Linked DNA regions of Caenorhabditis elegans. The protein of the gene in region 2 interacts with the protein of the main gene of each other region in a pairwise test. Each region holds a gene or a part of one and is shown on either strand. Other genes may lie near its edges. The genes, in order: T11B7.1 and gkow-1.

Region 1 (4,487 bases), 1.5 Mb from region 2:
TTTAAATCAATGTTTTTATCTACATATGTACTTCAAATATAATAATTATTTTACATAAACCATTGTTTTACACTACAAATCCATATTAGCATCCTTCCTATTTTAAAATATTTTTAATGTAAATGTCACAAAGTCAATAGACCGGAGAGATCCTATGTGACTCACAATCAAGCTATCCGATGTTACAAAAATCAAATTGCTTTCAAAGATCTAATGAACAGAAATGTAAACTTTGGCTTGTCAAAAGTCAAAAATTTAGGGCATGTTCATCATCTTCCAGCGCCTTCGGTCAACCTAACAACATTTATGATTGTCTAAAAAATCGATAGCATGGAAAAATGACACCCTCGAGGAACATAAATAAGATAATTGTATCATTAGACGCAGAATAATCTCAAAATGATCCAGACTTTACGAACAGAATAAGAAATCTGATATACCCATCGTCTCAACAATCTTCTATCCATTCCAAGCCATGACAAATTTGAAGCGGCAACAGTGAAAAGTGGCCCACCGCTGGCTAATACGTACGGTTTTATAGCGGGCAAACTGAAGGCCGTCTTAGGTCCATTACCGGCTGTTGGACCGTCATTTGTCCACAGGTTGAGAAAGACTTTCAACCTGTTCGGGCTCGTCCGCAGCTGTTATAATTGTGACATTTTTTATACATAAGTTTGTCTTTGGTTCTTGGAAGGACTTATTGGAAGATTTTATTTCAGAAACAAGAACAGTTGGAACAGTGTAAAGTTAATCAGAATAATCAAGAAAATTTGAAAACAAAGAGAAAGTCGGATAAATGGGAAATCATGATATATCGTAGAGCGAATAACAAGAAAATCGTTGATTTGTGAATAGTTAAAATTTTTTAAAATATTAGTCATTGTAAGAAGGTACATTTAATTTCAATGAAATCTCAATTTTCTGATTCGATGCTATTCCTCTGACGAGCTGTCACCATCTGGTAAATCATCAGAAGCGCTGCTTTCAGAACTTTCATCTGATGAGCCTTCTTCCTCTTGAACTTCTTTTAAAGCTTCTAATTCTTTGAACGCATTCTTCAAATTTCCTCGAGAATTTCTGAGACGTTTTCCAAAATTTCTGACAGTCTTCGCCAAATCCTCAGAAATTTCGTTTTTCGGAATGAAATTCTTTTTCAATTCCATCATCTGCTCGTATTGATGTTCAAGCTTTAATTCTAGAGCATCCTTATCTTCAAGAGCATTTTCGTATGACCAACCAAGATTAGCGATTCTGTAATAATTTTTATGTGTTTTTAAGATCAACAAAATATAAATGTTTCGTCAAAACTTACCTTTTTTTCTGATCGTTAATTTGTCTTTGGAACCACTGAATCTCTTGATCTTTCTTATCGTGCACTTCAAGACTTTCCAAAATCAAACGACACTCCTCTTTATGCAACTGCAGCATCTTACATTCTGGTTCAAGTTTTTGATCGTCTGAAAACTTTTGAAGAATTTCAATAAGTCCCTGCAATGTTGGAGTTGGTGAACGATTCTCTGTTTTGTTTCCAGCTGTGAGCTCTCCAATTTTCGCTGTTTGATTATCAAGATAGTTTTTCAATGTATCGTTTTTTCTGAGCAGTTTCTTGTTTTCTTGAGCAGCCCTGAGCAGTCTGGAAAAAGTAATTACGAAACATAAAATGTTTGTTCTTACACTGCCAAACAGATTACTATATCTCGATGGCAGTGCATGTTATGTTTTCGGTCGACTATACAGATAAACATAGTTACCTTGATTCATAGAGCTCTTGTGTCTTCTTTATATCCATTTTAAGAATTTCAATTTCCTTAGCTTTTTTCGAATTCATTTCAAAATTTCCAACAGCTGACTGTAGTCCTTCACAAGTTAACTGAATATTTTTCAGTTTCTGATCAATACTTAGTTCTTCTTTGAATTGTTTCAACTGTTCGGTGAGCTCATCCAATGTTAGAGGATTCACATTTTTTGAATTCTCGTGATTTTGAATACTTTTCAAGTTTTGAAGTTTTTTGAATTTTTCAATTTGAACTTCAAAATCATTTTGCAAGTCAGCATAGTTGTCTTGCAAATTGGAACATTCATTCTCGAGTGTATAGATTTTTACAGAAAGTGCCTGTCTCATATCATCATACTTAAGCTTCTGACGGCTGAGTGTTGAATCTAACTTCTGGATTCTGAAACAAGTTTAATCTTACAAAAATTACGAAAAAACAGTATACTTACGTTTCCAAATGTTCATCCTGTTTTTCATTGAACTTTTTTTCCAAATCCTTGTAGTTTTTATCTTTTAATTGAATACTTTCAAGCTGTTCTTTAATCATTTGCAAATGAGGAATGGAAAAATTAATAGTTTTACTTTGTTTCTCAACTTGGACATAGCTTATGGTATCATGAAGAATATCAATTATTCCTTGAACTGTAGGCTTAGACGCTGAAATTTAATATACATTCACGAGGAAAAGTATTCAGAGGACTGCGTGACTATCGATGTTTCAGATTTTCAGACGGGATACATAAAACGCAAGTAGAAAAACCCGCATGACGTCACACTTTTTCTTTCATTCTCCGTAATTTTCCAGGAACAAATTGCGAATGGAACCTATCATACACGCGTGCGCGAGGCGATGTGACAGCTTCGATTAATTATACAAAAAAAAACGTCAGAAATAATATCATTCCTGTTATGAAACACTGTGATTTCAAAAATGTTTACCTTCCAATTGTCTTGTTTGCGGTGCTTGACTTTCTCCTTTTGAAACACTTGGTTTGATTCCTGACATTACTCTCTGAAAATCCAAAATCCTTGCACTAAAACAGATTTAAAAAAAAGAAGTTAAATGAAACCGTATTCATATCTTATAATATCATAACTACAATCATTTCCATACAATTCGTGCATTATAAACAAGAAAACAAATGAAAACCCTTCAAAAAACTCGATTAGCTACCGATATCAAGGCACTTTGGATGTAAAAAATAATAAATTAATCAGTCATCTCTTGACGATGACGTATGGGCAAGTCATCTGGATGAAAACTATAAAACAGAACGCTCATGTATATTATCGACTCGAAAAGAAGGTTTCCAAAAATTATCGATTCAATTTAGGTTTAGCAGATCTACGAATATACATTAAAAAATACTTGAGGAAAAGTTACTTAATTAGGGATCCTACAGAACTGACAGACCTAGAATAAAAGTAAAAAAGATTAAAAACGAGAAGAGGGAGGGAGAAAACACCGAATGCAAATGAATGGTATGTTGGAGATTTGTAGTGTTGGAAGAAACAGTGAACCACACTCTCCACGGGCAACGTACAGGGGTCATCTCATCTATTTGTTACGACGTCGAAGAGGCTCGCCACTCTGTAAGTAATATTGATTACTTGGTTTTGTGTATCGCATCCGATATCGGCCGAATGTACAATGAGATTTTTTTTCGAAATACCACTATTTTAGATGTCGCCATAAAAAATGTTTGAAGGTAACATAGATAACATTTTCAGAAGAATTTAAGTTTGAAAACGTGATCAATTAGGTTTTGGGCATCTGGAAATCATATGAAAAGCTAAATTTATACCTGTCGTACGACGACATCAAACGCTGATCCAGTTGATTGTAGTGGTACTGCCACGGATTCTGGCACAAACGAAGACGCGGTTGAGATTCGTGACGACGTTGACATTCTGGATGATGGGCGGGATGAGAGAGCTGGTACATTCGATGACATTGGCACTCGTGGAGAAGTTCGACGAGCCGCCGCTGAGAAGGTTTTTAGTTTCAAGTGAAGTTCTTCAATTGTCTTGGTCTGCTCGGCAATTTGATGACGATACTCCGCGATAAGACCTTCACGATCAGAAATCGTCAGATTTTGAACTCGCATATCCTGTTGAGCATTTGCAAGTTGTTGTCTGAAATAATATTAATATAAATCTATATTTAATTTTCTGATTGTGTGTTACTTTATTTTTTCGATTTTCACATGTCCGGAACATGCTATCAAATACTTTAGTTTAAAATAAAATTTCGTTCTATACACCAATTCATTTAAACGTTAAAAAGATTTAACTCACCTCAGCTTGACTAGCTCGACGTTTGATGTCTTCTGCTGTTGATCTTCTTCAGCAGGATTCTGAAGTTGTGCTTCCAGTTCTGCAATTTTTGCTGTCAGAACTTCGCATTTCTCACGATACTTGTCCATTTGAACGGCGAACTCGTCAGCGTGATCCAATAATCGAGCTTCCGAATCCTTAAGCAATCCATTCTGCTCCGAAACAATGCGAAGTTCTTCTTTTAACTGTTCCAACTCTTCCAGAGACTTCAGATCAGCCGATTCGGATGCCTCGATAAGCTGTTGCCGTAGATTAGAGACAAGATTTTGAAGTTTCACAATAGTATCATTCCTATTTGAAATCTCGATTTCCAATGCCTTCTTTACTTCTTCAATTTCATTTTCATTTTTGTTCCACGCATCATCATCATTCCATC
Region 2 (4,896 bases):
TATCGAGATCTGCGTTTTCACAATACTGAAAAAAAAACATTATTAGCATTTTCACATTCAAATTCATTAACTTACATATTTCTTTTCATACAGAACAACCGATCTTGATTCGTCTCTCGGTTGCTCACTGCTTAGAATATTGAGCTCCAGATCGATTGAAACATCCAATTTTTCAAGTTCATTCGCAGTAGCTTCAACATTCTCAACTTCATCAAGCAGTTCACTTTTCTCCTGATTATCCGATTGATCCATATCTTCGAAAATCGTGTCTTCCACATTTTCCTGCTTGCTAAAGGTCTGATGCTTGTTCGCTGCTTGAAAATCTTTGGCTGTTTCCGTGAAGGTACATGTGCTCTCAATAATCTCATCTTCCTGATAGCCGTCTCCGTACGAGGTTTCAACAACTTCTTCATGACCCACTTGCTCCAGAAAACTGAAATCATCATAAAAATTGTCACCGCTATCCCAAGCTGTATAATCCTGGGGAAATTTTTCTTCGGAATGGAAGGAATTAGCTGTAGGAAGGTAATTGTTTTCAACATGATCGTAATTTGGAAGATGACTGTTAGAACATCCTGGAAGACAATCATCAAACTCATTTCCTCGTTCAGAAATGGTTTCTTCGTAGCAAGCGTTGCTATTTTCGATGATCTCCTCAACATCGGAATTGTTTTCATTTGATTCGTCCTGATATTTGGTTCCAAATAAAATTTCTAAATCTTTTGAATCTTGAAAGTAATGAATGGGCCCTGACGAGTCGAGTGACATTTGTAGTACCCTGTCACGTGATCTGTCGATATTCCGGAGTTTCGCCTCGACCTCTTTTGGAGCAGGTGAAAATCGTCTCTGAAAATAATTTTTGTTTAAAGATGACTGAAATGTTTTATTGCCTTGATATTCCTTGCTGGAGTTACTTTGGTAGAAGCTGCATCACTTTTTCTGGATTTCGCTTTTTTTACAGAATACGTTCTTTCGGGAGAATACTGAAAAGATTAGCGCCGAAGAATTTTATCAAAAAAAAATACCGTAAATCTGAGAGGCGTTCTTTTTTTCTTTGGTGCAGAAGATGTGTATGTGATGGTTTTTCCATTGTAACTGTCCCTATCATAAAACGTCGTCACACCAGACTGCCGGGTTGATTGCCTAAAATTGAAAGCATTCGCATATTAAACGCGACTTTTTTTTAAACTTACGAAGAGGGCACTTGGGAAGCATTTATTATCTGAAGATTTTCTTTTTTGGGGTAGACATTGAAACCTTTCTTCTCAGAATTCATGGTTTTACCTGAAAATTAAAAATTAAATCACGAAATATTTAAAAATTGAGAGAATTTATAGAGAATCAGAGGGAAAAAGAATATATGTGTATTTTCAATAAAACAAAATTGAGTTTATTGAATGAGAGAAGATGTGAGAAGATGAGAAACACCAGGCTTGATTCCTAAAACAATTTCCCTCCAATTGCTGCAAGTGGTCTTAGCACGATCTGCATGAACTACCGTATCCGGCAGTACGGTATACAATTTTATTTTCTTTTCATTTCGTTGTTTTTTTTCTCGATTTTCGAAAATTTTCTGATGTATTTGTTAATAATCTTATGTTTATTCAAAAAATTTTATTCAAAGAAAAATAGAGAACATTTTTAAAGCGTTATTAAATTTCTTAATGATGGCACTCCGGCTCGTCCTTGTTGTCATGACTCTCTTTGTATATTTGTTTCACATGACTTTTATAATTTTTTTGAGTATTTAACATTTTCCAATTCATTCTTCCATAAATTCTATTCCATTTGTCTTCCAAGATTGCAATATTTCTGTTCTTCTGTTCAATTATCTCGTTTAATGGGGATGAAATTTGAAAATTTTAAAAATTCTTGTCTTCACTGGCAGATATCTGATATATAATTACTTTTAAAATGATGTTGAGTATTCATTGCGTATTATGGCAGCTCACTGATGTTTAAAATGTCTGAAAACTCAAAATTGTTTTTAAATCAGAATCCGAATAACTATTTTATTACAATTCCCCATTTTTGTTTCCATATTAATATTAATAATAATCTTCTCCGATTTTGATTTTTACAATTGCTGTGAAGCTGGCTGCAACTGTGCCCTAATAGCCAGAAATTTTCGAAATACTCTGCGTCTCTTGCATTCAATCAGTCAACTCTATCCTCTCTCGTACACTTTTTTAGAAAATCTTTTTACTTTTTTGTTTTTTAATTTTTCAAGTTTTGAAAACATCAAATTTCTATAAGGAGATGGTGGAACAAACTACATCGGAGCCTGCAGCAGGATCTATGCCCAAAATTTCATTTGGCGTGAAAAAGCGAGAAGAGAACAAAGTTCAGGCGCCTGCTAAAGCTGTTGTAATTGAAGGTAATGTATTTCTTTTGTAATTCAAAAATTATTAAAATTAAAATTTTTCAGTCGATTTGGACAGTGATGAAGAACGAGAAAAAAATGAGATGGAAAGAGCGGCCAAGAGAAGAAAAGTTATGCATTTTGAGGATGGAACCGTTCAGTGAGTAATATCATGAAAGTTCCAGAAATTAATCGTAAATTATTGTGAACCAATTTAAATTCAACAAAAAATTTGGTGTACAGTTTCGATTAAATTTTTTTAAATTTAAATATCAAATTTTTTGAAAACGTCTCATTTATTTTTTAGAGGCGATATTGACAAACCAAAAGAAGCTGCCGTCATTCCAATGGTAGTAGAACATGATTGGAGGACTCAGAAACTCATTGAAAAGGAGAAAGCTGGTACATTAACAGAAGAAGAACGTGCCAAGTTGGCACTTGTTCTACCCAACGGAATTGATGGAGAAAATGAAGAAGAAAGCGGAAAAGGGGAGAAAATTGTTGTAGAAGACGGACGCGGTGATACAGAAGATGCCGATTATTCTGCAATTCCCATCGAAAGCTTCGGACTTGCAATTTTAAGAGGTTGCAACTGGAAAGATGGTGATGGAATTGGTAAAAACCCGCAGAAAGTCGCATTGAAACTTCCGAATCGACGACCGCCTGGACTCGGACTTGGTGCCACACCCAAAAATCCAGTAGGAAAAAATAAAAATACAGGAGAATCGTCGAAAGCAGAAGAAGAAAAATTAGAAGAAATTAAAGTTGGAAGCTTCATAAAAGTAGTTGACGGGCGAAATAAAGGTGTTTATGGAAAAGTCGAAGGAAGAGATGATGACTCAAATTCATTGTTTATAAGAACTGCAATCGGAGGAAAAACGATGAAAGTCAGTCAAATAGTTGCTGTTGCAGTTAGTGCGAAGGAATATGAACGAGATTCGAAATGTTTAAGTGAGTTTTCATATTTCTAGCAGCCTGAAAATAAGCAAGTTGTATCAAGTTTTGAAATTGATTTTAAAAAGGTTATTTGAACCGTTGAGTCTCCCTTTCAAAATGATTTTTTTTGCTTTAACATCATTTGTAAATGGTACAATAAATCTCTGAAAACCCTTTGAATTACATAAATTAGATCCTAGGATTTTTGTAAGAATTTTGAGCTGTTTAAATTCAATTCCTGAGTTCTAACAGTTTGTTGATAACAATCATCTCATTGATGCAATTATTTTAATATTAAGCAAGTTTTATTCAGATAAAAGCGAATACGACAAAGAAAAAGATCGGCTTGAAACAGAACGGAAGAAGCTTGAATCTCAACCACCATCAACGTCCACGTCTCAATCTTCAAAGGACTACAAATCGAAGTCTTCGTCTTCCAAACATGACAAGAATTCCTCTGAATACGAAAGAAATGATAAAATGTGGGCTCGAACGGATCTTCTTGTTAGATTCATTGATGAAGACTTCAAGCGAGGATCATTATACGAACAAAAAGTTCGGATAGTTGATGTTGCTGGAGATAATGACGTAACGATTGAAGATGATCGAGGGAACACTCATTACAGTGAGTTTTACTCCTTTTAGTGGGAAATGTTGAAAATTTTAATAGACTTGACAGTAATTCATAGTTTTTGTTACCAAATTTCAAAAATCCGTGATTATAAATCATTTCAGATATCCGACAATCCTGGTTGGAAACTGTAATTCCTCGAGAAATCGGTGAAAAGCTCATGATTGTCGCTGGTAAACGAAGCGGCCAACTAGCTGTGATGCTTGATAAAGATAAACGGAAAGAAAAAGTGACAGCACGTCTTGTGGCGACAAACGATGTGGTTACCGCGTACTTTGAAGATGTTTGTTCAGTTAAGATTCGACACGAAGAAGATTACGAGTGAATAAATGTGTACATTCCCCGATGACTTTTTTTGAAAAAATACTAATTCATTATACTTCAATGAATTTTTGAAACTTGATAGTGAACTCTTGCAATAACCAGTGACAATTTAATCCAGTTACGGATCATTTGCAAATGTTACGATTTTTTCGATCAAAAAATATGTATGAGAGGTACAGTAGTCTTCACACCTTTCAGCATTGCAATATTATTCGATTTCTTTCGAAGTATATGCAAAGCAGCAAGGTGTAGAGACTACTGTACTTCTCAAAGGCGCACATCCTGTTTCATCGTCGCGTCTATACTGTATTTTCGTCAAAAAATCCAAATTTCACATCTAGAAGATACGCCATTTATCCATTCCATTAGAACCTCTGGAACATCTGACATAAAAAACCATGCTGTTTTTAGTTGTAACATGTTTCAAAAACAGGTTGGAACATAACAACTATACCAATAAAACACACTACTAGGTCAAATAAAGAAAACTATACTTTTCATCCTTTCACTCCAATTTCTTCAACTAATTATCTATATTGAATTGAAAAGTGTGACTTCCTACCGATTCTCGGTCATTCTCATTTCTCTCGTTCATCTCGGGTAATTATATCCGAGTCTATTCTTCATATCCGGTCATTCACTT

Evidence for each region.
Region 1: the proteins of gkow-1 (region 2) and T11B7.1 interact in a two-hybrid assay, tested with the Caenorhabditis elegans proteins (2 studies listed by BioGRID).

The regions. Positions count from the first base shown.
Region 1 is NC_003282.8:8,839,018-8,843,504, reverse strand, and holds T11B7.1 (Centrosomal protein of 162 kDa), read right to left. Parts: upstream 2,789-4,487; 5' UTR 2,781-2,788; coding exon 2,714-2,780; intron 2,432-2,713; coding exon 2,224-2,431; intron 2,175-2,223; coding exon 1,752-2,174; intron 1,634-1,751; coding exon 1,313-1,633; intron 1,252-1,312; coding exon 933-1,251; 3' UTR 700-932; downstream 1-699. Other genes in the region: T28C6.11 (uncharacterized protein), read left to right, coding at 3,244-3,367, 3,622-3,842; T28C6.7 (Kinesin motor domain-containing protein), read right to left, coding at 3,333-3,365, 3,580-3,910, 4,073-4,487.
Region 2 is NC_003282.8:10,355,887-10,360,782, forward strand, and holds gkow-1 (G-patch domain and KOW motifs-containing protein homolog 1), read left to right. Parts: upstream 1-2,255; 5' UTR 2,256-2,259; coding exon 2,260-2,377; intron 2,378-2,428; coding exon 2,429-2,522; intron 2,523-2,669; coding exon 2,670-3,313; intron 3,314-3,611; coding exon 3,612-3,923; intron 3,924-4,033; coding exon 4,034-4,254; 3' UTR 4,255-4,333; downstream 4,334-4,896. Other genes in the region: R11A8.1 (DH domain-containing protein), read right to left, coding at 1-25, 76-846, 891-983, 1,026-1,143, 1,194-1,276.